Linked DNA regions of Neurospora crassa OR74A. The protein of the gene in region 1 purifies or fractionates together with the protein of each later gene. This does not show direct contact. Links are inferred from orthologs where the notes say so. Each region holds a gene or a part of one and is shown in the gene's direction. Other genes may lie near its edges.

Region 1 (10,849 bases):
TATATCGAAGATAACGGGTTGTACCGTCCTGACATCTCAATATAGGCCTGTAACAGATACTCGTCGTCTCTATCTCTGTTCCAGCTACAAAAACCGAGGGTATCGCTCAGATTTGTTTTGGGTCTCGCGCCATGGCATGTATCGGCGCATGACTGGATTCAACGAGGATATCGGCGGGGTCCATGTTAGCGGATAACATGAGCTGAATGATCCTCCTTCATGTCATGCTGTCCGGTGCTGCGTGTAGACAACTACAGTAGGTATGACAATACCGAGTACCGACATGGTAACCAAAGCGTGAGGCATTCAGCCCTGAATTGTGAAGCGTGATCGTGATTACACATGTGTGTATCGTTGTCCACGCTTTTGGTGAGAGACCGGAAGTGATGATCTCTTTGGTGGACGGTGACCTCCCGTCTGCTTAAACAGACATTCCCGTCAGAGCATCTGGGTCAGGGTCGGGTCTCAAGAGTGGATCTCCCTAGCAAGCCTGCACAGCAAGGATCGCCCAGGCGCCTGCCCGTCGCAGTGCCTGGCGCAGTGTCAGCAGGGCCCGATGCTGTTACCTCTAGGTTAAGAGGCCCACCCGACGAGGCGTTTGCAGCGTAACGAGGCACCCACGATCTCTTGTCGTCTCTTGACGATGGTCACGCTGGTCACGCTTTCTCTACGTGCCCTGTTCTCCTATCGCCAGGACACGTTCTCATTCGTACAGCGCTCACCAGATTTATGGCGGCTCCTTATCTCAGTTGGCCCAAGTGCCACTTCGCCGATGATGTACTCCAATCAAAGACTCCAATGCCCTTGTGCTGTCGGCCAGCGCAGGTCACACGGACCCGTCTCTTGATTGCTGCATCTTGACAAAAGTCGCTCGACGATACCAACGTCAAAAGGGTAAAAGAGAGAAACATCTCCATCTTTGATACGAGAATCGTTACAATATCCCGATACATATCTCGGACGGAAGTACATATTGTTACTACCCACCGCAACACGCTGCTTACTCTCCTTCGTTTACTTGACTCGGGCCTTATCAATATCGCCCCTCAAAGTCCCAGATAGGAAGTTGGCGCTGAAGTAAACGGAGCAGACGGAGCGACTGAGAGTGCTGCGGCAGTGTTTCGGACACGCGTCGACAACCCCAAGATCGACCTACCTAGAACTACCTAGTCTCCCACTTCTAGCAATAAGAACTTGTTACAAAGTCTTCGTTGCGTGCCATCATCGAACAGTCCTTCGCTCAGGCATCCTTCCATCCACCGCTAGAAAACAGAGAGCCGTATCTGAAACACGGACGGTCACCATCTTTATCTCTCTCTCCAGTCTCTGACCTTGGCCTTGACCTTACCTCCGACACCACGGACTGAACTGCGCTCCAGTATCTCCACGCCGATTGTGCTCTAGAAAGAGGTCTGGGCTACCATTACATCATCACCACAGGCACCACCTCTACTGCTTAACGGCCATGTCGAATGCGGGCAAAGACTCGGGAAGGAACTCACCGGTCCCGGGTAATATCCCCGTCCGCCCTTCTTCGCCCGGCGGTTCTTTTCGCCCCGGCTCCTTCCGTCCCAGCTCGTTTCGCGCCCGTGAGCTCGGCACGTCGATACCACGCGCTGATAGCATCGCGCGCCTCGCCACGCCCGTACTACCACAACAACAGCCGTCTGGCACTCCAACACCTATTCCGATAGAGCGAGGTGATGCTGGCGCCTTGCCACCACTTCCCGGCGCCGGGTCACAGTCTGCTGGCCCCGGTGTTTCTGCTCTAGCCGCTGCCTTGTCCAACACCTACGGAGCCTCGCCACCTCGCTTTGGCACTCCTCCTGCGCGCGCCCTCTCCCCTGCCCCTTCGGCTGCCCAGCTCCAAAGATCCGCGACGCCCACCACGAACTACGGCTCCTTCGAGACAAGATCAAGGTTACCGTCCACCGGTATCAACGGTTTCGGAGCATACGAAGATCCTGAGATCATCAAGAGACACTTGGTCCAACCTGGGGATAGCGCTGGGGAGGAGACAGGCGAGAGATCCAAGGGCAAGCAGCCTGCCGAAGACGACGATGAGTTCTCGAGTTTGCAGTTACAGGGTGGTGACATCACGCGCCCTATATACAGATGGGCGGAGGAGATAGAACAGCGCAACAAGGCCAAGCGCAGCCACAGTTTCAGCTACCCCAGGCCCGAGCCAGAAAATGAGGTTCTGGATATCAACTCAATCAAAGTCCCTGGTGGCTTCCGGCGCAATTACCTGCGGAGAAACGCGAGAGACCCCTCGGCTCATCCTGACGACTCCGAAAACGGTGCGGGCCAGGGTGCGCCACCGCCGAGGTTACTGACGACTAGCTTCCTCGAATTCCTTTCTTTGTACGGACATTTCGCCGGTGAGGAACTCGAGGAAGACGATGAAGTGCTCCAGCCAGGCGAATACTTCACCTCCGGAAGCGACGAGGGCGAGTGGTGGAGTGACGAGGGCTCTGTTGATGATCACGAGCCCATGGAGGACAGCACACTGTTAACGCCGTCTCGACGTAAGAGGAGAAGGAAGGAGCGTGGTGGGAGTGGCCGAAATAGTCCCATGAGCGCGGCAATGCTTCTCCTCAAGTCCTTCGTCGGTACAGGTGTTCTCTTCCTCCCCAGAGCCTACCTCAACGGCGGCATGGTCTTTAGTAACGCCGTGCTCCTCTTCGTGGCGGCTCTGAGCTACTACTGCTTTGTTCTCCTCGTCTCCACTCGCCTCAAGGTGGAAGGATCCTTTGGTGACATTGGTGGTATTCTCTATGGCAAGTGGATGCGAAACCTGATTCTCTTCTCCATCGTCATCAGTCAACTGGGTTTCGTGGCGGCTTACATCGTCTTCACGTCGGAGAACTTGCAAGCATTCATCCTTGCCGTCACCAATTGCAAGACCTACATCTCTATATCATGGCTGATTATCATGCAAATGATCATCTTCCTGCCGTTCTCGCTGCTGCGTGATATTGGCAAATTGGGATTCACTGCGCTTATTGCTGACGCCTTCATCGTCATCGGTCTGGCCTACCTCTTCTACTACGACGTCCTGACTCTCAACACCTCGGGCCTGGCCGACATCATCATGTTCAACCAGAAGGACTGGACCCTTTTCATCGGCACCGCCATTTTTACCTTTGAGGGCATCGGCCTCATCATCCCGATCCAGGAGTCCATGAGAAACCCGGAGAAGTTCCCCAAGGTGATGGCCGTCGTCATGATCATCATCACCACTTTGTTCACCGTTATGGGCGCCGTCTCCTATGCCGCCTACGGCTCCAAGACCGAGACAGTCGTGCTCCTCAACTTGCCCCAGGACAACAAAATGGTCAACGGCGTGCAGTTCCTCTACTCGCTCGCCATCCTGCTTTCGACCCCACTGCAGATCTTCCCCGCCATCAGGATCACGGAGAATGCACTCTTCACGAAGAGCGGAAAGTACAATCCGTATATCAAGTGGCAGAAGAACGTGTTCCGCTTCTTTGTCGTCGCTTTCTGCGCCATGGTTGCATGGGCGGGTGCCGATAACTTGGACAAGTTCGTCGCACTGGTCGGTAACTTTGCTTGCATCCCGTTGGTGTATATCTATCCGGTGAGTTTTGCTACGTACCCTTGCTCCTTCTTGTGTAGATGATCAATCAGACGCTAACACAGTCACAAACAGCCGATGCTGCACTACAGGGGCGTCGCCAGAAGCGCTCTCTGGAAATTCTCGGATGTTGCCCTGTGCGTCTTTGGCTTCATTGCCATGGCGTACACGACTACCTTGACTGTCATGAGCTGGGCCGGCGCTGGAGAGGGCGGAGAATCGCCTGGCTATTGCGATGCTAAGGGATTGAACCCGTAAAGGCGTGCAAACGTGTACGTATTGATCACGGAATGAGTCATGAGTATCCTCTTGATTATATGGGACGAGCGTTGGGGTTTATCAAGAACAATGGATCCGACGATATGATTATGGTTGTATAGAATGAAAGGAAATCATGGGATAGGGGTCGACATGATGAGAGCAAGACATATGGGTTATGACTAGATGATTGTGGGATGGACTACACTGTAGACTTGATGGGAGTGAGCAATCTGTTGCCGAGAAGCATGTCTAGAGTTTGTATTGCATCGTGAGGGAAGCGTTTCCCTGTTTGTTTGAAGAAGCTCGTTACCATAACGATGGAGCGAGAATAGTTTGACTTTTGAATAAATTGATTAGTCTGGCATTTTCCCCATTGTACGTCTATGGTGTCGATGTCATTTTACTGTTGTTTTGACGTGTCATTACTGGGTTTATTCTCCCTAGCAGTCTCTACAATCTCTGACTCTTTGAGGGGCGGCCTTTCTCTCCCATTGCAAACAGTGTTCGAGCGAACAGTGTGGTAGCTACGATGACCTTCCATATATCGGTTTACTCTTTGCATACTACCATCCTCATTTCATGGTTGGAAAGAGTTCCTTCCCCACAGTGTGTCGCCGTCGTCTGCTTCGCCAACAAGCAAGCTCACTGCTTTCTTTCTTTGTTGAACCCTAACCCTCCCTTGCAAGCATGTATGTATACAGCCCAGCGGACCGAGTCATCCAAAAGCGGGATGGCGCTGAAATAACTGAGCGCACAGACCACACGTACCTTGATCCGGAGTTCAGTGCTCCAACTGCGTTGCCCCCATCTCACAGTGGATGCGCAACCTGGACGACCTCGAAGACATCGATCAAGTGCGTTCACTTGTGTTAAAACATCCCACCCCCTTCACCAAGATCAAAACCTTCACCAGCTGACGAGCAGTATCAAAACCTGAGCGACTGAAACCTTTGGTAGTCTGTCCCATTCACGCTCCAATTTTGGGTATCGAAATTCCTACGTTCCCCCGGTCCCGCCATAAGAGCGAATCTACACAATTGCTACATCAACCACTCGACGTTCTTGAGCAGTTGACATCGTCACCCCCCGGTCTCAACCTCAACACCATATCGCAAATTCACGATATCGGGCGACGACGACAATCGTTTATACACCACCGATAACCAACAACGAGCTCTACGTCATATCGTTAGCCAATCGCCAAAATGAACGCCCCTGATAGGTTAGTAGAATCTTCTCTTCTTGCTGGTTTCTTTCCACATGGAGAAACCAACCCCCCTCTTCCTTCTGCCCTGGACGACGCGCCTCACGCAAATGCCGGAAACACTCGACCTGGGTTGCCTTAAATCTCTTGAGGGCGTTCGACAAGGAATCATAACGACTATGTCAAAAGTCATTATGTCACATGCCGGTGTCGACTGGAACCGCAATGTCAACTCATCTCAGTACGACAATGGAACAAATCGACCTGGACGGACAGGCAGACACTCGAATAGTCCGCCCCAGTTCTTAGCCTTACGTGTCTATCCTTCATGGTCTACGAGCTTGGTTCAATCTTCCCCTCCGGTAGGCGGTGTTTGTCTGGTTGCTGGTGCCAGGTGCCTATTGTTTTGAACGCGAAACAAACGGGACGGCTTTCATCTGATCATGGACCATGGACGCAAATGGAAGGCAACAGGCAGGCGAGGCAGCTGGGAGACTAGCGATCTGGGAGTTGGTGGGTAACTTGTCTACCACGGATTCACCTTGACCAAACTCAATCTGGATGGAGAGTCGCTGGCTGTCAACGATATAAAAGGCGGACGACTTCCTCCTCATACACCACTTAAACCCTTCGTCAAACCAACATCCCTTTGGACTAGCACACAGTCCATCACGACAAGAAGGATATTGATTCCATGCCCTCCTCGTCACCTGGCAACAGCGAACAGGACCAAGATCAACAAGATGAGCGGAGCCAATCCCAAGCAAAACAGCGAGCCGAACCGGTCCGCCTTCTTCTTTCCGTTTATACTCTCATCATTACCTCACTTTTGGGTAGTAGGAAAACATTACTGACATTTGCTTCCAAAAACAACCAGGTTCGAGCTCTTCCTTCTCCAGGATGGAGAGAAGAAGATTGAGGAGAAGGTTTTCACTGGTGAGTCGAGTCGATCTCCTCATCTTCTTGATAATGAGGTGATACGTGGGGAGAAGAAGAAATAGTAGAAGAAGGAAATGGCAAGAAAACTGACCCCGATTTTTTTTTCCATTACTTGGATAGGCATGTCGAACACCTCCGACTTCAAGATTCTCAAGGAGGACCACACCCTCGGCAACCTCCTCGCCGAACATCTGAAGCAGGCCCCTCATGTCTTGATGGCAGGATACAAGAGTACGTCACGTCGTACCGCCGCGTCTTACTTCACTTTTACTTTTCTTCTCTTTACCCCCCCTCCCCACACAAACCCTCACCACCACCACCACCACCACCCATGGCGAGATAAACAGAAACTGACTGACACGTAATTATTAGTTGCCCACCCTAACGTGCCGGAACTCTTCATCCGTATCCAGACAGACGGAAGCATCACCCCGCGCGAGGCTCTCGTTGGCGCGTGCAAGCAGCTCGTGGCCATGTACGGCCAATTGGGCCGCGAGTTCCAGAAGGAGCTTGCCCTGCGCCAGTATGCTGACCAGGGCGAGCAGGGAGGCGGCGTGAACGGCGGCGCTAATGGCGGTCATTACTGATCGAATCGATGCCCGCCTTAACGGGGTTGTTCGCGGTGTTTACTCTACTCCCGACACGCCTTTACTTTACTTTACTTGACTGCCGGAGGAAAGTTTACGAAGGTCGTCCGATGCTGAATTGGGGGGGTGGGAAAAGAGATGCGATGGTGGCATGGACGGTGAAAACATGATTAGCTCATTATCTTTGCTGTTTTGTTGATCGGATCGGTCGTCATTCAAAAACGGCGTTTAGGGATTTTCTTTGAGGATGCTTTTCAGTCAGTCTCTTTGCAGGCGTTAATGATCAAGACATGCATGGGATATGGAAAATAAGGGGTTTTGACAGATCTCTCCGTTTACTCGCTCAATGCTAGGGCAGAATGGGAACCATAGATTTGTTCAAGGTGTCTTGTGGTGAGAGTATGCGAGGAGTGGATGTTGAATTTTTAAGAAGTTTGTCAATATGTCTTTGGGACGTCTGCTTCTATTTGCTCCCATCAGGTGCGCTCTATTCTATCCCGAAGTCTTATTGTTCGTTCATACATAATCCATAGCTCCTCGTCTATCAAACGTGCCGCTCTCTAGTTGACCTTGGTAACGCTCAACTCGCCCTTCCCATTCTCCTCTTCAAGCTCCAACAACCCACCAGCCTCCAGTCTCTTCTTCCACTTGGTGCTCTCATACCTGGCCAGAATCATGGTCATCCTCAGTATCGCCTCACTGCTGGATTCGTGCTCCTTGACTTCAGCCGCAACAGGTGTAAACGTCCACCTTCCAAACGCCCAGTTGAGGATATACCTCGTCGTTTGAGCTTCGCTTCCCGCGGACGTAGGTGGTACTGGAACCTTGGTATCCTCATCCGAATTCTTCAGCACCTCCCGCGCAGTTTTCGCAGAAACCGCCAACACGGCTTTGATCCTGTACACCTCGTCCTTGTTCGTTTTCCTCAAGAAAGCCAACAGCTTCGTCGCATCCACCGTCGCTTCTCTGTTGCCGCTCTTAAGCTCAATACTCAACACCTCCACCTCCGTCTGATGATCATGCTTATGCTTATCGTCATGTCCACACTTGTCATCGTGAACATGCCCATCCTCTTCCGTAAGACCCCTCGCCAACCCCCCATCAATCCCAAACACCACCGACATATCCACCCACCCCTTATCACTCTTCACCCACGCTGTGTCCACCTCCAAATCTCCCACCCTATCCAAAACCTCGTCAAACCTCCTCTCCCCCGCCCCTTCCCACTTGTTAAACACAATCAGATCCGTATACCGCGCCTGAATCCGCGCCGTATAGCTAGTATCCTCATACCCCTTCCAATTCTCCACATCAATCACGCTCACCACGCCATCCAGCACATACTGGCCCCCCGTCTCCCTCGCCAGCCGGTTGACCTCGAGCGCCAGCGTAGCAGGGAACGCAGAGCCCGAGGTCTCAATGACGATTCGGTCCGGCCGAACGGTGGACTGGAGCTCGGAAAGGGCGACCGAGAGTTGACCGACGAGGTTGCAGCAGATGCAACCGTTCAAAAGCTCGGAGACGCCGGCGATGGCCGAGGAGGAGGCGAGCTGGGAGTCGACGGCCAGATCGCCGAATTCGTTCTTGAGGAGGGCGAGGCGGTAGGAGGGATTGGCGGCGCGGAGCTGGGGGAGGAGGTTCAGAATGAGAGTGGTTTTGCCGGAGCCGAGGAAGCCGGTTATGATGGTTATGGGGATAGGGGATGATTGGTCGCGCGTCATTGTGGTGGTTTGTTCGTGGGTTGGCTGGTTGGTTGTTGCGTGATTGTGTTGGAGGGGTAGGTTTCGTAAGTATAGGATCGAGTCTGCGACTACACTACGTCTAGGGTCTAAGTCGCGATGAAAAGTTCGGGGTAGGTCGATCGATCGAATGTCGGGAAGATAATTGAGAGTAGGCGACCTGTAATTGAGGTATGTAGGAGGTCAAGACTGTCGCAAATTTCGGGCAATCCAGGATTGCAGAATTGTAAAAGAGAGAAGGGAAAGATCGCCAAGCTGCCCTGGTCTCTGGAGAATAGCTTTTCGATTCCGATCCGACTTCGGGGACGTCCAACTTGGTCAAGAAGGGTTTATAAAAGTACCGACAGTATGTATTGTTCAAGAGGATTGAGAAAAGCGACTCTATTTAATATATAAAAACTTTACAACAATATGAAGAGAGACATAACAAAATCATATGGTTCCTGGAGTTTCCAGCATCATGGTCGCCCTCTGGCGTCGGGTCTTGCCGCCGCTTGGAGGGGCACGACAAGGTGGCGGGGGCTCGTGGGCTCAGTGGGCTGTTCTGGGCTTCTAGCCGGTCCGATAAGATCGGGCGATAAGGGCGATAAGGACATCCTCCTCCTCCTCGATGGTGAATTGAGGTCGACGATGACTGGAACGTGCCATGGTGTTCGTCGGACAAGATATGTATCTTCATTGCTATGAATTGAAGTATCTGGATCTTCTCTGCATGAACAGAAAACAATGTAGTTATGAAAGTTCAGACGACGGAAGCAAAGCGCACATTTGTCTTTGTACAACGAATGGATTTCGTGACGTCATCCCCACCTAAATAGTGACCACTTACACCTGCTTCATGTCTCAATCGAAGCCATGAAACTGCCCGTCTGAAGTTGTGCTCTTGTGTTTAGACCCTTCTCAAACACTTTTTCTCGTCTTGCCTGAGTTGTCAATAATCGAAAGCTAGTACCATAGCTCTCTCTTCTCTTCCATCACCACCAATCCATCTTCCACGGCACCATCACCATGTCAACAAACCCCAACACCGTCAGCCAACCCGGGGCCGAGGGACAAGATCCCTCAGACTACAAGCCCCAGCTTGATCAAATTGCCGAGCAGAAAAGAAAGGGTCCAGAGGAGCAACAACAACCCCAACAAAGCGGAGGAAGCGGGATCGTTGACAAGAGTATGTAACAACCCAGTCTTCGATTTCTAATATTCGTTTGTAACATCCCAAGCTTACCTATCCCTACTTGTGCTACAAAAACAAATAGTCTCGGAATACGTTCCAGCATCAGTTAGCGAAACGATTGGACTAGGAAAGAAGCAGCAGCAGCAGCAGCAGCAGCAAGAAGAGATGAAGCCCAAGGAAGAAGACCTCAGCGCTGTACCACCGCACCGTCCTCATCACGATGAACAGATTCAAGAGTTCATTAGGGATCAGCATCGGAGCAAGGAGATTTTGGGTGATGATGAGGAGACAAAGGGTAATTGAAGGGTTAGGGGCTGAGGAGTGATAAGTAATTAGCAAGCGGGAGGGGGTTCGAAAGATACTTGGCGAAGTGCGCTTTCAACAATGACCATCACATGTTCAAACTACCTATCTCTACAATCGTCTCTTTTAACTCTTGAAATTCTCTGAAATAACACCTTCAACAATCTTAGTAATCAGCATGGCATTCTCTATTCCGACTTAAAGTGACAACAACATCGTCGATCTCTTCTCCTTATGTAACATCAAGGCGGCCCGCATGAGGACTGAATGACAGGTCCCGAGTCGACTCTGAGACCCCGGGAAGCGGGAAGCGTCAACCCCGCCCCCCGCTTTCATACTAGCATCACGTCCTTGCCTGTCTCGTCCCCCTCAACACTACACAGGGGTCTTCCGGTATCCTCCCTCCTCCATCTCTTTTCCTTCTGAATCCTATCCAAACATCACTCTCTCTGACTTCCAAGTTTGCCTCTGATCCACTGACTGTCGATCATCCACCGGTTAACAAACTTGTTGAAGCTCAACAGAACTTAGAACATCCCGGACTCCCATCCACTTCGTCATCGTTTTCGAATCATCTGCTTTATCAATAGATATCCGAAGCGTCTGCTCGACAGCTTATATAACTGAGAACCACCACTTTATCCAATTTTGATAAACATTCACGTCTTCATCTTACCGGACATATTTTACGATACATAGACGAGAATCTTACCAACCTTACACTCCAACCCACCAAACCAATCCATCCAATATCTCACAACCAACCACCTCCAAAAATGTCCAACCGACACTTCATCAACGACCCCCAACACCTCGTCCTCACATCCCTGCAATCCACCACCCTCCTCAACCCCGGCATCGCCCTCGACGCCCACAACAAAATCGTCTACCTGCGTCCCGGCTACGGCAATGCCTCCTCCTCCTCCTCCTCCTCCAACCAAAGACAGAAAGTCTCCCTCATCTCCGGCGGCGGCTCCGGCCACGAACCTTCCTTCTCCAGCATGGTCGGTCGCGGTCTCCTCTCTGCCTGTGTAGCAGGTACCA
Region 2 (10,071 bases), about 180 kb from region 1:
CGAGGCCGTTCCCTTGTTTTGAGAAGAACAACGGGCGAGAATGGCTTTAAAGCATCGTTACAAGTAGTGAACATGTCGACCGGTTTTAGGAGACGGGATACCGGCCCGCTGGGGGAATAAGTATGTACATCCTCTTTCATCTCGATCTCGAGTTTCGTCACCTTGATCACTACGGCGCGCCTAGCCTAGGTATTCACAGACGCGACGAAATTTTCCCCACTCTAAAAAGGTGCCCCTCCATTATCACTTTCTCCATCTGACATCTGGCATTGGATGTGGCACTGACAACATCCATCCATCCATCCTATTCAGTACGCGACGCGACGCCTATCAACAACCAAAGGATATCAAGGTCCTCGATAAACATCCCCAACGAAATATCCTTGCGAGTTATCTGATACGAAGCAACCGGCTCCCGATTCACCAAGTAACCGAAACCCTCTCCCTCCCTCGCTCTATCCAACAAAGCCCCAACAGCCAACAATGCCCGACGCCAAAGGCCGCCGCATCGCTCTCGGATGCGAAGGCTCCGCCAACAAGCTCGGCATCGGCATCATTGCGCACGACCCCATCACCGGCGAAGCCCTTGTCCTGTCCAACGTGCGCGACACCTTCGTCTCTCCTCCCGGCACCGGTTTCCTTCCCAAGGACACAGCCCGACACCACCGTGCCTACTTTGTGCGTGTAGCCAAGAAGGCGCTCGCCTTGTCGGGGGTCTCCATCTCGGAAATCGACTGCATCTGCTACACCAAGGGGCCCGGGATGGGCGGGCCCCTAACGTCGGTGGCCGTGGGCGCCCGCACACTCGCGCTGCTGTGGGGTAAAGAATTGGTGGGCGTGAACCACTGTGTCGGGCATATCGAGATGGGGCGGGCGATAACGGGGGCGTCGAACCCGGTGGTGCTGTACGTGAGCGGGGGTAATACGCAGGTGATTGCGTACGCGGAGCAGCGGTACCGTATCTTTGGCGAGACGCTGGATATTGCAGTGGGTAATTGCCTGGACCGGTTCGCGCGCACGCTGGAGATCAGCAACGACCCGGCGCCCGGGTACAATATTGAGCAGCTGGCCAAGCAAGGTGGGCGAGTCTTGTTGGACTTGCCGTATGCGGTCAAGGGAATGGATTGCTCGTTCAGCGGAATCCTGGGGCGGGCAGATGACTTGGCGGCGCAGATGAAGGCGGGCGAGCCGGGCCCCGACGGCGAACCGTTTACACCCGCAGATCTGTGCTTCAGCTTGCAGGAAACGGTATTTGCCATGCTTGTCGAGATCACCGAGCGGGCTATGGCGCACGTCGGTAGCAACCAGGTTCTTATTGTTGGCGGTGTCGGTTGCAACGAGCGGCTACAGGAGATGATGGGCGCGATGGCAGCGGAGCGAGGCGGAAGTGTCTACGCCACCGACGAGCGGTTCTGCATCGACAACGGCATCATGATTGCTCATGCTGGTCTATTGGCCTACGAGACGGGCTTCCGGACGCCGCTTGATGAAAGCACATGTACACAACGCTTCAGAACCGACGAAGTCTTCGTCAAGTGGAGGGACTAATGACAAGGAAGGAAACGAAGACGAAGATGACCATTACGACGATACCCCCAAATCCCATAACCTTTACTCTATCCACGGCAGCCACTCTATATGCGCCTCTTGTTGTCCCTTAGTGCCCCCTTAATGGAGCAGGATGCCCATGGACAGTTTGCCGACAACAATTTGCGCCCGCTTCCATAAAGTGTCCTCGTCATCGCTACAGCGTCCTATAGACATTACTTGTAGACATATCTAGAATAGGTCATACTGGGCGGTTCATCATGCACCGCTATTCTACTCATGACTTGCGCTGTTCGTCTAGTAGTGGTAGCCACCAGCCAACTGTACCCAGCTCTGACTACTAGCATTCCAAACTCAGATGCCCTCTGTCGTTGTTGGCTTGTACATGATTGTCGTCACATACTGTACAGTCCGTTAGCATCAACGACTACGTGCAAAAAGATGCAGCTACGAAATACGGGGAGACGAACCTTGTTCTTGTATCTCGTCGTGGCCGACACAGCCAGAATATTATTCTTAATACTGCTAGTAGCTAGATGGTTAAGAACGGTATGGTTGGGCATGTTCAGAACGCTGTTGTCATCCTTGATCAAGGTGGCCGCGTTGAGGATGGGCTTGCCGAGGAAGCCAGGAAGCGCAGGCGGCGTTGGGAGTTTCTCGATGGCGTTGACAGCACTCAGGTAAGGTGGACTTTCCTCGGGTGCGTCGAAGTCGAGTAGATATTGCGGGATCTTGTTCTCGAACAGCTCCGCCGGAGGGACAGGTCGGTCCCTAGGTGCCTTGCTTTCCTCCGTCTCGGACGCGGAGGTTTTGGGCTCCGTAGGTTGCTGGGAATCCTTGGCGGCGCTTGCAGCAGCTGCCTGGGCAGCGGTGCGCCCCACATCATCAGGGCTGACCTCGATGTAGTTGACCAGGTTGTTGCCAAAGTCTACCGTGGTCGGCAAGTCTGGCGAGGTCTGCATTTGCCCGTCAACCAGAAAGCGAACGTGATGTGTGCCCGGCAGGATATTGATAATAGCAGCGAATACACCCGGTCGGCCCTCACTGTTGGCGAGTAGCGGTGTCAGCAAGGCCCCATCCGTATTGAGAGCGAAAGTGGCCGGGATGTAGAAAGTACTTACACCGGGTGTAATCGTGTCTTCCTGTTCCATTGGAAGATGGTGCCTGTCACGTAAACCTTCTCGCCGCCACGGAGCCATTCGAGCCTGGTGGGGACAGTCGGTCTAGTCTTGTCCACCCGTAGCTCCTCCGTGTCTTCTTCGTCCAGAGTTGAGCTGTTACTCAAGTTGGAAGAGCGTCTGGTGAGCGCGGTGAAAGTGTCGGCATCCTCGAGTGGGACCCCAATGTCGGTCGGGGCAATGATAGGCGATCCGGGTGTGTGGACCTCTTCCTCGATCGGCAGAGGTAGTCGCGGCGGCCTGGTCAGGTACGAGACATCTTGCAGACTGCTCAGCTGCATAGCCGCAGTCTCAAAGGCATCCGATCTCTCTGATAGCGGTGATCGCACCGGCGACCTAGGTGAGCACGACGAGGCGTGGCAGGGTGTGGGCACGGCTACAGGTTTCGCGGGCTCATGACTGTCTTCGGGTCTCAGCTGTCTTACTTCGACAGGTTTGGTGGGGGTGGCAGAGCTGGTAGGCACCGACGAGCCCGGCGAGCCGCTCTGAGAAGGTGGCATTCGCGAGTGCAGCGACTTGGGACGAGCGGTGGTTGAGGGCGGCTGGACGGCGGTGCCCTGGGCCTGGGTCAAGGAGGGCTCAGGAGGGGCAGCGACTCGCTGATTTGGGACCGGTATAGGGTGCTTGGTATCGCGCTTCACTGCTCTGGCAGAGTCATTTTGGATGGAAGCCAGCGACTGGTGCTGAGACTGCGATTGAGAGGAGGAGGAGGAGGATTGCGGATTCGGGGTCTTGGAGTCTCTGGAGGTGGAGGGGTTGTTCCCCATTTTCCCTAGCTCGATCGCTGGCGCTGATGACGGGATGGGGTCGCCGTGGTGGTCGGGTCGGTCGAACGGGGTCGTCACAGGTGGTTCGCTGCTACCGCGGTCTGCTGCTGTTACTGCTACACCTGTTCAACAATGCGTCCACCGGGTGCAATCAATTCATCTTCCACTCTCCGGGGTAATTGGCCGAGTTCGGATAGAAGGTGGTTTGACAGTCGAGGGGCTTTGCATGCTACGCCAGCGCTGGTCGTGGCTGTGGTTGTGTGGTTTTTGGGAATTCGAACGACGTTGTCAGGTGTCGTGTCGTAATAGAGTTGGAGCAGGCAATATCGCAGCAAACTGGAAGATGTGATGATTCGAGTCGTGTCGAATCGAGGATGCGCGAAACAAGTGGAAGAAGTGGAAGTCGAGAGAATGACGGGTAGGTAGAGAGCTCAGTTCAGTTATCAGAGTATCACTGCAGCAGTTGACTGTCCTCCCTTGGGCCAAAAAGCACAGCTGCCATCCACCTGGTTGCTCGATAAGAAGCGGGCGACCACTGGCAACTGAATGGAACTCGGATGCAACGCCCCGGACTCGGCGAACAGAGTTGAACTGTGGATGAGTGTGAGACGGCGCCCAGCCCAACTGCACGGCAGTGTCTCCACTGTCCACCTCCAGGCATCGGCCCCAGCTTCCACTTCGGCCCCCACCTTTCCCACATTCTCTCCTGCTTCTCTAGCTCCTGGACCGTGCGCCCCTTGCATGTCAACTCCTGGCCCGCTGTGAGACCTGGAGCTTGCGCTGGCGCGACGCGGCAGGCAAGAGAGGCGGCCGATCTTCTTTCCAGAGAACAACTTATCGATGTTCACATGCATTCCTCTAAAGAACATCACCCTCCTTCGTCAAGTGTCCTTTTCCAGTTATTCATTCACTCGCTCAGCTATTCGTAGACGAGTGAGTTATCGGTTTCCGCCCCCAAAGTTACCAGTAACATCGCCATCCCTACACATCTCCCAAAAATGTCGGAGAACTACGTTGCCCCCGGCCAGCAGCGCTACCTTCGTGCCTGCATGGTCTGCTCTATCGTCATGACCTATGCTGTAAGTCGAGCTGCCCTTCCTCGTTTCTAGTCACTCTATGACCGACAAGTTTCTGACCTTTTTTGTTTTTGTCATAGCGCTTCCGTGACGAAGGATGCCCCAACTGCGAAGACTTCCTCCATCTCCAGGGCTCGCCGGATCAGATCGACAGCTGCACGTCGCAAGTCTTTGAAGGAATCATCACCATTGCCAACCCGCAGAAGTCGTGGGTGGCGAAGTGGCAGAGGCTGGACGGTTATGTGAAGGGTGTATACGCGACCAAGGTGTCGGGCCAGTTGCCGGATGACGTGCGCACCACGTTGGAGGATGACGGCATTCAGTATATCCCGTAAGTTTCCTGCTTACACTCGTGTGGTCTGGCGAAGCAGGCTATGATCGTGGGGTTTTCGGGGCACAGCCAGAAACTAACTTGGAGCAGGCGCGATGGCAGTGCGACGGAAGCGGACTAGAAACTCGAAGCTGCGGTGCAAGAAAACAAGACGGAATAGGGCGGATAAGAAAGCAGGAAAGAGAACCGACAAGCAAGAAGGAAGAGGGACCGATAATAGATCGTTCACAGACAACCCAGGAGCGGAATGCGGAATGCCTGTTAAAGGGAAGGCAACAGGAGTTCAAGGCGTTAAGGCTGGTTTAAAGGGCGTGGTCTAGACAGCAGGATAGTGGCCATTTTTTGGGTTTTGCATGATCAACCCAGGGCTATAATTACACACTGCAGCGAAATACAACAATCATACAAATGAGTTTATCACTACCTAACCTATATGGAAGATTATTCATCCAGCTACGGATCCCTTTTACGAAAACCCCAATGCAATATGGTATCTTTTTTTTAAACATTTCCCATCACGCCGAAAACGCCCCTATAACATGTACCGAAATATTGCCAAACCCGGAGATAGCATAACCTTTGACCAGTTACCCACGTGAGACTCCACAGTATGTTAAAACTGGAAGCGTGGCTTCTTGTTGGGAAAGTTCCCACCCTTCTCCTCGCGAGCCCTCTTGCGCTCCAACTCCTCCTTCATTATCCTCTCGGCCTCGCTCATCTTCTTGGGCGGAGCAGCCATAACCTTCTTGGGAGCCCCAGCAAACGCATTCTTGAAGACGTTCTTCGGTTGGGGCTTCATGCCGAACTTCATAGATACCGGCTTCGTGGCGGGAGCAGCGGCAGCAGCAGGACCAGCAGGACCAGCAGTCGAGTCAACCGCGGGTTTGCTTTCCTCTGCCGTCGTCTTGGCAGTGGCCTCTTCGCCCTTTGAACTTGCTTCCACCTTTGCTTGCTCAGAGCTTACACCGTCCGTCGTCGTCTTCGTTATTGTCGAAGGTGGCGTCACGGTATCCTTCTTCTCCTCCGCAGCAGGAGGAACCGATCCGTCCCCAGCACCCGGTGTTGGCATTGCCGCCGCCGATGTCGAACCCTTCTCACCCTCACCCGACCCCGACCCGGGCTCCTCTTTCTTTGTTGTGGCCGATTTTCCAAAACTCAACTTAATCTTCTCCCCCTCCCTCCTCTTCAACTCCTTCCTCTCCTCCTCCTCCGCATCAAAGCTAACCCCCCTCGCCTCGGCATCCTTTTGCGCTCTCTTAATTTGCTCCCTCAAAGCCCTTTGCTCCCTCTCCTCATCCCCCTTATCCATCATCTCCTTCCTCCTGACCTTCTCCCTCCTCTCCATCGCCTCGGGAGAATCATCAATCCACGCCACAAACAACCCCTCCCCCTCCTTCTCCTCCACCCTACACAACCCTTCCCTGCCCAAAAACTTTGCAAACTCTGTGAGGGAATGCCACTTGGTCGCGTTGAGATGCACGTGGTCCTTGCGCGCAATCACCTCCTGGTAAAATTTATTGATGTGGATCTCCTTCTCGCCATGGCTGGTCTTCAGCTGCGCGATGAAATCCTTGAGGAACTGGTCGGAAAAGGTGTCTTGCACGCCCTTGAAGTTGGCGCCCGCCTCGAGCGCTTTGGCCGTGTGCGAGGGCGACTGGCAGTGCATCTTGTACCCGTTCTCGTCGCGGCAGGATTTCTCGCACAGTTGGCAGTACCAGCGCAGCCGGTTGAGGCCGCGGGATTTCATCTTGTTGGCCAGATATTTGGCGGAGCCGACTTCTGCTTTGGGCATCGTGAATGGGTAATTACGGACTCCGCTGCGCGCGAGTCGGGGCGGGTGGGGGAGGTGATTGGTTGTATGTGTTTTGTTTTCGGAGGGTGTCGCTCGGTACAGTACAGGACGATGCGGCGGATGACGGTTTGGAAGTTGCGTTGGGTCAAGATTAACTATGTGACGGAGATGGTGAGTGAGTAGTGTTGGATGACTTGGAGCAAAAATCGTGGTGTTTCGCTCTTCGACCACCTTGCGTTGTTGTTGGAAAGTTGATGTTCTGCAACGGGTAAAGGTTCGAGTGTAGGCCCCGATTGCCAGCCGCCACACAAATGTTACATGCCGAATGCCAAGCATTTGAAGCGATCAACCAACAACCCTAACCCAGACATGCTTCCCATTTGGTCGAGGATCACCCCTTTTCGCTTTGTTTACACAAAGGAATCTGATTCCCAACGGGGTATTTTTGATGCTACGGATGACACTGTGCCTCGGAAATTGTGTTTCGGCCGCTTACGGAGAGGTCTGCCATACAACGGACTTGGTCTGCGCTGTGATAGAGTATATGCCCGGCTTGCTCGAGGTTTACACTTTTCTGTACTCTTCGACGACGTCTTTTTTCTTTTTTCCTCTTTTTTTATTGGTTTTCTCTCGGACACTCCGGTTGACCAGGATCGCGATCCCCACTTTCACCTTTATGCAAAGGTATTTCTGGTTATCAATTGGTGCTATGCTTATCGTTCACTCTCTCGGTTACAATGACTGAGTTTCCTCGCACATTCGTACCTTCTTACGACCACGCTTCTTCATTTCTTGTAACGGATCCATCAACTGTCGACGATCTTTCAGCAGTATTTACACAGTTACAGTTATGTTGACAGCAAACTACAGCTGACATATGATGAGTATCCAAAAACAACAGCCACCCCATCAAACCGAGATTTCCCGCATTCACCCAAAAGCAAAAAGACATCAAACGCAAAAAAGCCACAAAAAAAGACACCATCGGTCGAAACGGACGCGTTTGGGTATCAAATTGACAAAAACAAAAGAAGGCAATGAGTATATACAAGAAAAACCAGAACATGATTGTACCGTAAGTGAAATGACATATTGATGTCGTATGAAGACCAAAGGCGATCGCTCTGTAACTCCAAAAACCGCCAGATAGAAGAGAAGTTGCGCTCAAACTCTCATGTTGAAAATGGCATGGTTTCTGATTCTCGGACGATGGTTATATGTCCCGTGTAATATAGAATGCCGTGGGTCCAAATAAAGCGTATTAATCGGCATGGATAACAACAAAAGGCTGATATACGTACTGCATAGTAGTATATAGGCGATGATGTCATAATGCAAGATCGGCATCCGGGATTCGAAGTTGTTCGTGCTGCTCGGTGACTGACGCATTGAGCCAGGTTTCTGGAAGGTTCAGTCTGTTGGCATATCCCTGCGATGGCACGGTGCTTGATCGTGCCTGGCTCCAGTGGTGATGAGCATCCTCAACGGCTTTCTCTCTGACATCTGGACTTGGGTCCTCCTTCCAGAGCGCTGCCGACAGGGTGGAAAGTAACCAATGCCGAGTTCTCTCGCTCATATCATCCCTGGCGGAGCTGTGACTGGTGCCTGGGCTTCTATTTGCTCGATCCTGGGTGTTCCCTGCGAGCCAGAATTCGATGTTCCGTGACCCTTGCTTCGTAGAGTATTATTCGACCCCAAACCGCGCTTCATCATTTTCCCGAGGACTGTGACGAGCTCACACGCATCGTTAAACATGTCGTTGTCGATGCCTTCCGTCGCCTCATACACCTCCGAGATGGTTTCCTTTGCGAGTCTTCGGCTAGCCTCGGCATCGTGAACGCATTCGTATAGGAAGGCTGCGTATTCTGTCTTGACCGAAAGCCGTAGCGAATGTGATCCCCAAAGGTGCTGTTCCGCGAGCTGGATAGCTTCCTTGAAGCATTGCTGGGCCAGTGGTAGGTAGTCCCCGGGCTTCATGAGGAAGGCTGTTGGTGATTGCGGACCAAAACCTGGGGGTGGACCAACGGGCCCCCCCTCAGATATCGACCTTGAAGCACCGTGATCGTATGTGTCATTGCCTTTTGCTACCCTTTTTCCCTTGTCGCTGGCATTCGCTACACTGCTTGTTGACTGGCCTTCCGGGGTGTTGGTTCCTATCGTTGTAACAGGTGGAGTGTTGTGAAACAAGACGATAATGTGATAGAATGAAGCTAGCAGCTTGTATGCTAGGATTTTGAGTTCGACATTCTTCTTTAGCGTTGCCGATGGCAGTACATATTGATCGAGCAGTAGTAACCCCTCCCGTGACAACCAGACGATGTGAAGATGAAGGTCTAATGGAGGATTTCCTGAGCTGCCGTCTTGTCGGCGCTGTTTTCGTGCGGTGATGAGCTGACTCGAGAGGTTTATCGAAAGTCCTAGAATCTTGTACAGGACAGAGGAAAGCAGGGGGTTTTCACTCTCGACTAGCCGGGCGAGCTTGCCAAGAAACTTTTGGTCGATCTCCGAGGAAGCCATGAAGTCAAGCGTTCGCAATCGACTCAACTGATCCTTTCCCTATGATGAAAAAGTAATGAATCCAGCAGTCAAACTGACAGGAGTTGAGCCGTGTCCAAGAATGAAAATGGTGATGAACTCCTGCTGTTTGTCGACGAGTTGTCCGTTCGCTACCTCGGGGAGGCAAATTGGTCCAATGAAGATGATAAGTTAAACGAGAGACTGCCGAGATAAATTCGATTCGTGTGTTGCGTCAGTGGTGAATCCTTTTGTTGGCCCCAGCACAAAATCTTGCATGGGGAAAGTTGGTGTATGAGCGCTGAGATGAATGAAGCACTTGGCTCAAGAGTTTCGGCGGAAGACTGTCAATCAGATATGTATAGTATTCGTGAAGCTGAAACTGGGCACTGTAGCTTTGTTTAGAACTCATCAACCTTGGCATGCTTGACGAGTTGACTGGACGAAAACTCACCAATATCACACAGAAGAGCAAATTGTACTAGGTCGGAGGGAGGCCACCAAGATAGCAATCTGCCCACCAAAACGGGCCAATCAGGAACTTGAGGGCGGCAATGGTGTTAGGAAAGGAGTGAGGCGTCGGTGTGAGGGTAAAAAAAAAGTTGAGGCTCAAGAATGGAGACGGAGGAGGGCTTTGCGAGTCTGGGGCAGGGCATGGCGACGGTATTGGGTCTTTTTCAAGGAGATGTTTACCAATTGATGTGGCGCGCGCAGTCGTCGTCGCAATCAGGTCGCAAACGCCGTCGCGAATAAGCCGGAGGGCCCAGTAGTCACTGGTACCTGTTAGCCCCGGGTTGCTGCAGGGGAAGCCAGAGGTCGACCGGGACCCCTTTGCTTTCTTCCAAGAGACGCACAAGGCGGTGTG
Region 3 (10,385 bases), on another chromosome or scaffold:
TCGGTTAGTTGATCTGCTTTGGTTTCCTACTCCTGTTTGGGGACCACGACCAGGTCGTACATACCTGGATATGTGTTCACCCACCTTTTTGTTTCTTGCAGTATCAGTGTCTTTGCTTGGTGAATGACTGGCGGTCCAAATGAGTTCATGAGGAAAAGCGTGGACTTACCATGTCCCTCCGACGCCTTCGTATTTCTCATAGACCACTAGCTCGACATTTCGTAGCTTCTCTGGTATTCTTCACAGCACACCCATGTTTGTCAGTATTGAACCGGTGGTACAACTATTTCATCAGCCTAAAGCGGGAGGTAGGGAAGCAACTCACCTAATCGCTGCCCCGATACCACTATACCCAGCGCCAATGACAACTACCCTCAACGGTCTAAGATTTTCCACTACCGTGTCTTTAAGTGTAAACTTTTTCTTGAGGTCACTTCCGTCCATGTGCCCGTTCGTAGTTGTAGCCATCTCCACTGATATCTCTTGACGTATACTTGTTGCGACGTATTTGTTTTGTCAAAGGGTGTAGGTATTAGATCGTCAACCTCATAGTCGAAGACAGACCAGCAGCCAAGGTATTTGCCTCCAAACCTCTCTCTTTCTCTGTATATATACATTTCATCAAACATACCATGAGCCGAAACTTACCACTTCCTACCCCTCACAATCAAATACCCCTGGTCGGACTCAGGACGGTTCGGTAACGGCTTTGCTCAACCGAACCGCACGGCGGCCGCAGGCCTTCGATCTGCGTCATGGACTAGTGCTTTGTGCAAGGGTCTTGGTCTGGGTTTCATTACATCCGCGCCATCTGAGTGGTTGTAGTTGTGAATCCGAGAACGTAGTATATATATAAAACTGCTTTAGTTGCCTAAACCCCAGTGCTCCTTAGTCCCTTACTGACTATCCACAGGAGTGCGGGAGAGGAGGTGGGAGTTAGGTATAGAAAGATCATGAGACTAGTAGTATTATGGAATGTGGGACATCTGCAGGTGCTGATCTATATACGTGTACGGCATTAAGGGGTCATAAGAGGAGTGATTACATGGATTTTGGATAGTGTAAGCGGCGAGTTACTTCTAAACAGAAATCCGGATGCCCAAGAGAAGGGCATCCCGTCGCTAAACTCTCGTTAGGCAGCGGTGAATTCATACGAGTATAATTTAGCGGAGAGCATATGGGGTTAAGGTTGCGAATGCGGGGTGATTGATCTATGATACTCCGGGCCCGAGTGAAGAAGGAATGGCAGTGATGGTGTGGCTATTGAGCTCTCGGCAGACTAACTCTCAGCAGCCATTGGATGAACAGGATAACATTTTGCGGTACCTGCTTGGAGCTTGCCGCAGCACATCAAGGTCGACGTTCACCACAGGCCAATCATTGTAATCATGCACCAAGTGCGGTCATGCACTCCTATATCTATAATAAATTGCCTAGTCTTGGCTGTTCTTCAGAGTGACATCTTCTTTTCTCTCTTTTTTTTCCTTTTGCTTTTCTCTTCCTCCTTTTTTTACTTTTATTATCCTCCTATACCCACTGCCAACCCGGAAAGTGTAACGGGTTGCGCTACAGAAAACAGAAACATCAAAGGGTATCAATAAGCCAGCAAGGCTTAGGAAAAACCAAGGACCAAAACAAACGAGCCAGGACTGCACTAATCAAAACTTGATGAAGTCCTTTTGCTCGGCGAAATCCAAGTCAGGATCGTCGTCCTGGCCAACAAACTCGTCAACGTCGTCCGAGTCGATATCGTCGCTATCGACTGAATCGTCGTCGCTGGATAGATCCTCCATCTCCGCGTCGTCGCGGGCATTGACCCTGCGCAAGACGCTTGCCCTCTCCCGGTGCGGCAGTTTACAGCCCTTGGTATTACACACGCCAGTGTTGCTGAAGTCGGGACATTCGAAAACATGGCGGTTGATGCAGCTTGCACCCTTCTCGCAGTAGCCGTAGAGGCCAAATTCTCGGCAGACCGAGGCAGCTGGAGACACCTTTGCGTGAGTGAATTTGCAGTCAGGTTTGGTGCAACTGTCCTTAATGAAGTGCAAGCACGTGGGGGTGCGTTCCGCGGAGAGTTCGTGCGAAAGATCGCAAGAGTCACCGTTGATGCATTCTTCTTGTTGGAGAAAGTCCTTGCAAATGGCAACCTTGGCTGGGTCGTGGATATATCGGCACCGAGGGCCTTTGGTGCATGAACCTGCGGGGGATGTCAGTATAAACATCGTTTGGACTTACCAGACCCAGTCATTTCGACGTGGTGTCGGTTAAGGTTCCGAAATCTGAAAAGTTGGAGTTACCGGTCATGGAGAAATTGCGACAAGGCACGTTGACCTTCTTGAAAGCGCCGGATTGCCTATCGCAAACTAGAATTAGCGGATGATTCAAAAGGGACCGGGCCACATACCGCTGCGCTTTAACAATACCATGGCGGTACAAATTCCCGTTCTTGCTGCGGTAGAACTTGACACCGCCTACGATAGCCATTTTCGGGGTCGGCCCTGAGTTGAGATCGCCTGTGAAAGGGTGAGTATTCGGCACATCCAGCACTTCTGGCCGCGGTTTCGACGCACCGGGAATCTTGACAAGTTTGCTTCCGTTCTTCGTAACGGCAAAACGTATACCCTGCACGGTTAGTTCATATTGGTTTGGTGCCGCTGCCGACCGATCGCCAGCACGGTGTAGATGGTTGATCAACTTGGTTCGTTCCAGATCATCTCTCTGCTGTTGCTTCTGGCGCAGAGTTTGCTCAATGGCCCGAGTGCGAGCCTGCGCTTCCTTATGATAGATGGACGAATTGATGATTTGAAGGTGACGGTCGTTCTTTGCTACCCAGGACGACGGGGACGAGTCGAGCGCGGCGCCTGAACTGGGCGGACCTGCTTTACCTTGTTGAGACGCGCCGTTCAGCACCAAGGTCCTGTGACGGTGGGCAGGCTTGGTGTAATGGGCGCGGGTCGGGTATGGGTAGCCTCCTCTTTGATGACGCCAGCTTCCAGAATAACCTGAGTCTTCAAGACCGTCAATACCAGCACGGTTGCTGTTATGATACTCCACGGACGTACGGTGATGCGGTGGTGCGTGGCTGCTCTGCGGCGGAACAAGGCCTGCTTGTTGATTTTTGTGCTGGTTGATCTGACCGGCCACACGGGCAATCCTCTCCATCAGCTCGTGTTCCTCGGCAGACATTGTCATCTTGTTATCTTTTTGTTCGAATCCAAGAGCCAATACAAGTAGCTGTTGCTGCAATTTCAATATTAAAAGCGTATCGGTATATTGCGGTCACGTTCCACGATCAAGCAGTACCGGTCTTTGTCGGTTATTTAGATTGAAGAAAATATGATAAAGGTCGCGATGTTGCTGGTGCCGTTTGTTCGATGCGATAAGGTAACGTTGTTGTTGGGATGATTGTGGCGGCGCGCAAAACAGAGGATGATGGGTGCAAGAAGGATTTTGGTTCGGATGTTCAAGGACGGCGGCGAACTGCCAGTGATCTTTTGAGGGGGGATGCGCCAGAGGTCAGCCAATCACAAACGGCCAAGGTCGCTATCAGAGAAAGAAGGCCATGGAGTTAAGTAAGTAATGCGTCAACCAGTCAGGGCACGACCAACCAGGCAGGACCTGAACATTGGGAAGCTATGCTGTGCACATATGATAGTATGGACACTACCTACGTCGAGGAAAGCAGTTTATGCAAGATACCAAGCCTCAATGCCCCGTGGTGAGCTCACATTTCCTCCTAATCAGCTACCATCGGCTTGTTTCCAAAAAGACCCAAGGCACTCTTCATACCTTACTTCCACTTCTGTTCCTTTCTTTACGCCCAAAAAAATAACGCCGGATACAAACAAGAACGCTCCCGTAGACAGCCATACTGCAACCTATGAGACTCCAAGTTTGAACTGCCCTCAGAGAAATCCAAAACCACAGGCGCCTTCACCAGACTGAAGTCAACCTTTAACTGAAAGATGTATGCAGGATCCTAGGTACAGCTAAGTACTTGCCACCAGAGACCCCACTAGCCGCTCCGCTTGCGGGAGAGCGGGTCGCGCTAGGATCAGGTAGCGGCTTACATAATAGTATACAGGTACGTATCCAAGGTTCAACGGTCTTTGTCCTGACGTTGACGTTCGCGGCTGCTTTCAACCAGGCAACCTCTCTACAACAACAACGACCACGACAATCACGCCCCAACTTTCCGTCCACGCTACCACAAGACGCCGACAACCAGCGAACGAAAGGCCATTTTACGCACATATTAATATTTGCTAGTCTTGTCACAGCGACCAACTCCAATCATGGCCGATCCAATGAGAATTAAGCCTGACCCGGACGCAGCCTTCGCCGAAGACGAGCTTGACGAATCAGCCGACTTGGGATTCTATGATCCTAATGATTTTCCCTTGAAAAACGCTTATCTGGCTCGCCTTCCGGGGTATGTCTGGCAAGCATGGGCTTCGCTTCCCGATGATGCTGAGATTCAGATTGGCAAAGTTCGTCGAATTGTGCAAGATGGTCAACCGGAGGTCAGTAGCAGCACTCCCTGACGAGCACTACGTTTTCAATAGGTTACTGAGACTGTTTGGGCTTTCAGAAGCTACAAATTCTCCTCGACGATCTTCCACAACACTACGATATTCCCAAGGAATACAACCTCGACATGGTGGATGCCAACGTCAACAACACCTTCATCTTTGGTGAACATGATCACCCAAGTTATGCCGCCAAGAACAAGGAGCGGGCTGAGGCTCTAGCTCAGGGCATACCTGCACACCTTGTGCGCCAGCAGATGAAGCAGTCGGAGCCACCTCAGGAGCGCGGAAAGAAGGGACAGCAGTACACCAAGAAGGCCATCCCGAGTTCGTTACACCCAATCTCAACTGGCCTGCCTTGATAGGTGCTAACTTAAGAGTTCAGAACAAACGGCGATTGCAGCAACAATCAAGCGTGAGGTTGTCGCCACTCCTTTGGAAAATCCCGAGACAGACTATGCGCTTGCTGCCCGAGGCCAGAAGCAGACGGCTCCCAAACATACAGTACAGGTCCTGGATCGTCTGCCACCCAATGGTATCACGGATCCCAAGGGTTGGGAAACATTTCTGGTGCGTGTACTTGAAGACATATCACCACTAGAGCTTTCACTAATAGCAAACAATAGCGCACGACCGAGGCTCCGAGCAAGGCCAAGAAGATGGACAACAAGACAGCTCGCTGGCCAGAGAACCAGCTGCTCGACGAGCTCGCCAAATGCTTCTCCGTCTACATGTACTGGTCCATCAAGGCGCTGCGCTCTCGGATTCCTCAGCCCGAGGCGTTCATTCGAGAGTGCTTGGACAAGATTGCCGTTATTCACCGAACTGGTACTTTTGCAAACCACTGGTCTCTCAAACCGGAATACCAAAGTATGATTTCTGATAAGGACCTGCCGGCACCAACCAACGAAGCGGCTCCCAAACCCGAAATCGCATCTGAGGACGAGGACGACGACGATATCAAGATGGAGGACGTCCTGTTTTAAGATGACAGGACTGAGCGCTGTCATGATGGATGCGATCTTCCTTCTGACTCATTCACTTACTTTGCGTCAGGCGTTTAGAGTAGACTGGGTTTGCTGCGTTTTTCCTTTGCTCGCAAGACGAGCGGTCTTTCAAGACCATGCTCATACAATGATACCCGTTGCATCAATGAACAAGAGTCGGTTTTCCAGTTTGGGTTATTTGTTCCTTTAATTGCGTCAAAGCGTTGCAGTCGTTGGTTATGCAAAGGCTCTTACATTACAAGTGTTAGTCACAATGCGTGACGTTGGTACAACTCTTTGGGCGATCCTTTGGTCAACAACATTATCCATAAATGAAGTGGGGCCCTATGTCAATCATTCCCGATTCTTACTGGCCAAGAAATGCTATGGCTACTGGTGCTTTCCTTCTTGTCCTGGCTACAATTCACCTGGAGTTTCCATTACCTACTTACCTCCACCCACCTTCGGGATAGCACAACTTGAACCCTAAATAAAGCCACATTCATTCTGATCCGAGCCAACCTCCTTTCAAGTTCAATGCCTTTCTGGAAACCCGCTCATCAAAGCATAACCCGCAACCTTACCAAAAGAATGGCTCGCTTTATAGTCTTTGACTTCGACGGTACCGTTACCCAGCAAGACACTATCAACGTGCTCGCTCAATTTGCCATCTCGTCTCGCGGTTGCGCCTACTCTCAACAAAGTGCTTCCGAAAACTGGAAACGGATAGTCGACCTATACCTCGCCGACTACGCAAAGCATAAAGAGTTATACGTCCCCAAAGCCGAGTATAGAAAACTATTAGCGCAGGAGCTGGCGTACCTAGAGAGCTTGCAAACCGTTGAACTGTCTAGTGCGGAGAGAGTTGTTAATACAGGGTTCTTTGCCAGGTTGACAAGTGAGCAGTGGGAAGAGTTTGGGAGACAGGCTCGACGGATTGGCGAGGAATGGAATCCCGACTGGGACGGGGATGAAGGGAAAGCAGTGAGGGTGAGAAAGGGATTTTCGGAGTTTGTGCAACAAGCTAAGGCGAGGGGAGACAAATTGGGGCTAGTGAGCGTGAACTGGTCCAGGTCGTTCGTTGAAGGGGTGATAGAACCTGAAGATCCGGACCGGAGTGAGTTTGTTAAGAGGGTTAACGAGATTAAGTGGCCTGGCGGACAGCTGGAAGGACCGGAGGAAATGGGCGGGAAGGTGATGATGACTGCTAAGGATAAACTTGAGGGGTTTGAGACGATGCTGCTGGAAGAGGCAGCCGGGGAGAGCAAAAAGCGTAAAAGCGTGTACTTTGGCGACTCGGTGACGGATCTGGAGTGTTTGTTGAGAGCGGATACAGGGATCGTTGTGGTAAATGAGGGTGAGGAGGAGCAGAGCACGTTATTGGGGACCCTAAAGAGGCTGGGCTTTGAGGTGCCGCATGTGTCGGAGGGTCGGGAAGGCATAAAGTTGGCATGGGCAAGAGATTTCAAGGAGGTTTTAGGAAACAGTATTATGGGTTGACTTCAAGCTTGATAATTGGGTGTATATCTGTTGAATGCGATGAAAGCCACAGGTATTCATGCCCTCCCTTAGTCCATGGTTCTTAGACTACGGTACCAATGACAAGTCGGAACTTCTTTCATGTCTATCATCCAATGTATTTGAACCACAAAGCCAAGGAAAGTCAATGATAGGATTTGCCCATAGGATCTTGATGTTTGATCAAAAGCAGACCTTGGAACTTATTACATGTGTGTTTGTCTCTAATTTTCGTTGTCCTCATTTCTCTGACCAATCAATGGCACCACTAGTGTTGACAATACAAAGTCTTTGTCCGCAAACATGTCACAACTGATTTTCTGCTATGTTCAGAACATGATCTCAGATAACAATACTGTTGGTTTGCTTTTGTCTTGTGCTGAAACATTGAACCAGACTCTCATTCCATCAGCACGGAATGAATAACATTATAAGCAGCGATGTCCACCGCCAATACCATGTGTGCCAAACATCATCATGTTTCTGATACCAGTACTTATCCTTCACTACGTGCCATCCCTTTGTCCAAACTAATATCAGACAACAACACAACACCTACTAGATATGTGTATCCATCATCGTCTCATCTACCGCAAATGCGGCCACTTCACCTGGCTAGGCATAACAAAGAAGTGCCAGTCAGAACGCAACTTCGACCAAGGCAAGATCGACGAAGGCTGCAATGTCATGTGGACGCATCCGCTTTCAACATACCGAGTTGACAGGTGTTGCGAGAGTTGCGCCCTCGAAAGAGCAACAACGGATAGAGCTATTGATGAAATCAGAGGGAGGATCCAGTTGACTAGAGAGTTGCTAGCCAAGATCCAGGACCTACGGGAGGCTTCTTCTGGGGTTCAAGAGCGTGGCTGGAGTGATGGGGGGGTTGAGTCTGCTGCCTCAATGAACAGGGGAAGTATCGTGAAGGTGGGAGTTGTCGACGACTGTGGGGGTGACGGTGATGTCGAGGAGGCAGAAACCATGGATCTTATCGATCCTAATGAAGTGATCAAGGTGAGTCAAGCTCATTTCCGAAATATGATGGAGTTGGTGAGGGAGCATGCCTCTAGTTCGGAGTGAAGTCCTAAATGATCTTGGATGAGGTTCCCTTTACCATGGTTATTCCTGGTCCTCATAACGAGAGTGAGCCTGTAACAGACTGGTAGTAACAATTCGCGTAGAAAAACGAACAGTTTGTTGGCGGCATTAGCATCGGCCTTCAACCTCTCAAATCTCCAAATCCACCGAAAAAGCGATTGGAAAGGAAGCTAAAAGCGAAAATTCCAATTCGCAGCAGCTCCTTACAAATTCAACATGTCATCGTCAAAGACCACGGTCCCTTACGTGCTAGGTAAGCTTGAAATTACCCAGCCCAGCCTTTGAGTCCTGTCAAGGAGCTGCCACTAATAGCAGCCGTTAAGTAGTGATCAAGAGACACCGCGGCCACTCAGCCATGAAGACGAGCTCAGTCAATGTAGCGAATCGCTCTTTTCGGATGAGACAAATCACGAACTGACCATGAGCGACGTGACCTCCTAAATTGATCACCTGGCTTCGACAAAAGTGCCGTGGTTGGTTGGGTTGGGGAACAGAACGACGGATCACGGAAGGGGGTCCAAGTCAGCTGGAAGACCGGCCACTCTTGGCGCTGCTGTCAAAAGGGCGCTGGACCTACTACACTATGTACACGGGTAGAGCCAATCCACGCCAAGCAATATGGGGATCGGGGAATGAGGACCGTGCACTGAGTCCCTTAAATCCTGCCTGCCCCAACCGGTTCGTCGTATCGCATAACGCAGGAACGCGCATCGCAACCGACATCACCGCTACGATTCCCCATTTTCCTCATTTTCCCCATTCCCCCAGCTCTTGACGATGCCATGGGGTCTGTGGGCATCGCCTACCGGGAAGGATGAGGGAACTCCATCACCCTCTTCTTCGACCAAGTATTCATCAACAACATCAACAACAAGCGTCAACCACAGCAATCATGGCATCCACAACATGCCTTCGAACTTCCTTTCCAACTCGCCTCGTCCAACGGAGCGTGCGCCGCCGCCTGCCGCAGATATGGCAGACATACCACCCATCCCGCCCCAACTAAAAAAGAGAGCCATTTCCTGGAACGATTCGCTTTGGACGCTTATCGACTGGCAGCACTACCAAGAACCGCGATCGATCGTGCTCTACACCCTTCCGACCATCGGAGCTTTCGCGCTCTTCGGCATCTGGCGTTCGTTTCTCCGCCGCTTTCGCGGCACCGCATATATCTCGCCCGGCTTCTTTCGGCGGCGCACGCTGCTGGGCAAGGTGACGAGCGTAGGCGACGGCGATAACTTTCATTTCTTTCACACGCCCGGCGGGCGGTTGGCGGGGTGGGGCTGGTTGCGTAGGGTGCCAATGGTTAGGAAGGAATTGAAGGATCGAACGGTTAGTTTGCCTTTGCGCAGTCCTCAACACTACGAAATGTAATATGTGAATGAAAGAATGAGCGGCGATAAAGTGTTGACTCGAGTGCCGCTTTTACCAGATCCCAATCCGCATCGCTGGCATCGACGCCCCAGAAGGCGCCCACTTCGGCCGGCCCGCACAACCCTACTCGAGCGAAGCCCTCCAGTGGCTCCGAAACTACATTCTCGGCAAGCGCGTGCGGGCACGCATATACCGCAAGGATCAGTACGACCGGGTCGTTGCGACCGTCTTCGTTCGGAAACCGCCCTTCTTCCTGCGCAAGGACGTTGGGCTGGAAATGCTTAAACTTGGGCTGGCGACCACGTACGAAGCCAAGACGGGCGCGGAGTTTGGCGGGCCTAAGATGGAACAGGTGTATAAGAATGCTGAGGCGGCGGCGAGGAGGAAGGGGAAGGGGATGTGGGCGAATACCCTGACGGGATTTTTCGGGCTGGGAAGGAGAAGGGAAATCGAGAGTCCGAGACAGTATAAGGACCGGATGAGAGCGGCGGGAAACACTATACTGGGGAAGAAGACTGCGGCGCCCAAAGCAACAACGGCTACCAAGAAGGCGCCGGCCGTGAAGAGGGAGACGGCGGCGGCTGCGAAGAAGGAGAAGACCAAAGCGACGGCTGCAGATAGTACCGTGGCAAAGATGCCATGATGGTTGCAGGAAACGGACGACGACTGATAATACCCATGAAATGATATATCCAAGGAAGAGGTCAGTTGGCACAGAAACACAGTCATTGCTCGGAAGTGCTGTCTTGGTTCGCCGAGTCTCCAATCGTTTGGACTTATCGTACACAATCGCATTGAATCTGAGTAGAGTCTATACTGAGCAGGCCTTGTACATTCGGCTTTGTGACATATGGAAAGCCTTTCCAAGAAGATATGAAGGATA

Evidence for each region.
Region 2: the proteins of NCU03782 (region 1) and NCU03838 purify together in Saccharomyces cerevisiae (affinity purification with mass spectrometry; 3 studies listed by BioGRID). This does not show direct contact. The link is inferred for Neurospora crassa OR74A from reciprocal best matches to the Saccharomyces cerevisiae genes RPB11 and SPT4.
Region 3: the proteins of NCU03782 (region 1) and NCU03047 purify together in Saccharomyces cerevisiae (affinity purification with mass spectrometry; 6 studies listed by BioGRID, with this or other methods). This does not show direct contact. The link is inferred for Neurospora crassa OR74A from reciprocal best matches to the Saccharomyces cerevisiae genes RPB11 and TFG2.

What each region holds. Positions count from the first base shown.
Region 1 is NC_026505.1:2,387,225-2,398,073, reverse strand, and holds NCU03782 (DNA-directed RNA polymerase II subunit RPB11), read left to right. Parts: upstream 1-4,680; 5' UTR 4,681-5,064; coding exon 5,065-5,081; intron 5,082-5,940; coding exon 5,941-5,999; intron 6,000-6,122; coding exon 6,123-6,233; intron 6,234-6,374; coding exon 6,375-6,589; 3' UTR 6,590-7,028; downstream 7,029-10,849. Other genes in the region: NCU03783 (transmembrane domain transporter), read left to right, coding at 1,466-3,601, 3,674-3,856; NCU03781 (CobW domain-containing protein), read right to left, coding at 7,150-8,310; NCU03780 (hypothetical protein), read left to right, coding at 9,337-9,496, 9,585-9,805; dak-1 (dihydroxyacetone kinase 1), read left to right, coding at 10,582-10,849. UniProt on the Saccharomyces cerevisiae protein: DNA-dependent RNA polymerase catalyzes the transcription of DNA into RNA using the four ribonucleoside triphosphates as substrates. Component of RNA polymerase II which synthesizes mRNA precursors and many functional non-coding RNAs.
Region 2 is NC_026505.1:2,569,068-2,579,138, forward strand, and holds NCU03838 (transcription elongation factor spt-4), read left to right. Parts: upstream 1-4,148; 5' UTR 4,149-4,491; coding exon 4,492-4,572; intron 4,573-4,649; coding exon 4,650-4,900; intron 4,901-4,990; coding exon 4,991-5,021; 3' UTR 5,022-5,341; downstream 5,342-10,071. Other genes in the region: NCU03836 (O-sialoglycoprotein endopeptidase, variant), read left to right, coding at 484-1,548; NCU03837 (Snf1 kinase complex beta-subunit Gal83), read right to left, coding at 1,903-1,950, 2,019-2,592, 2,670-3,493; NCU03839 (APF1), read right to left, coding at 5,514-6,692; NCU03840 (hypothetical protein), read right to left, coding at 8,265-9,209.
Region 3 is NC_026501.1:8,296,624-8,307,008, forward strand, and holds NCU03047 (hypothetical protein), read left to right. Parts: upstream 1-4,162; 5' UTR 4,163-4,295; coding exon 4,296-4,523; intron 4,524-4,591; coding exon 4,592-4,856; intron 4,857-4,914; coding exon 4,915-5,099; intron 5,100-5,155; coding exon 5,156-5,515; 3' UTR 5,516-5,870; downstream 5,871-10,385. Other genes in the region: NCU03049 (flavin-binding monooxygenase), read right to left, coding at 65-84, 170-238, 326-468; NCU03048 (CCCH zinc finger protein), read right to left, coding at 1,659-2,197, 2,298-2,353, 2,405-2,513, 2,571-3,192; NCU11240 (hypothetical protein), read left to right, coding at 6,107-7,015; NCU16461 (hypothetical protein), read left to right, coding at 7,598-8,110; NCU11241 (nuclease domain-containing protein), read left to right, coding at 8,906-9,460, 9,561-10,145. UniProt on the Saccharomyces cerevisiae protein: TFIIF is a general transcription initiation factor that binds to RNA polymerase II.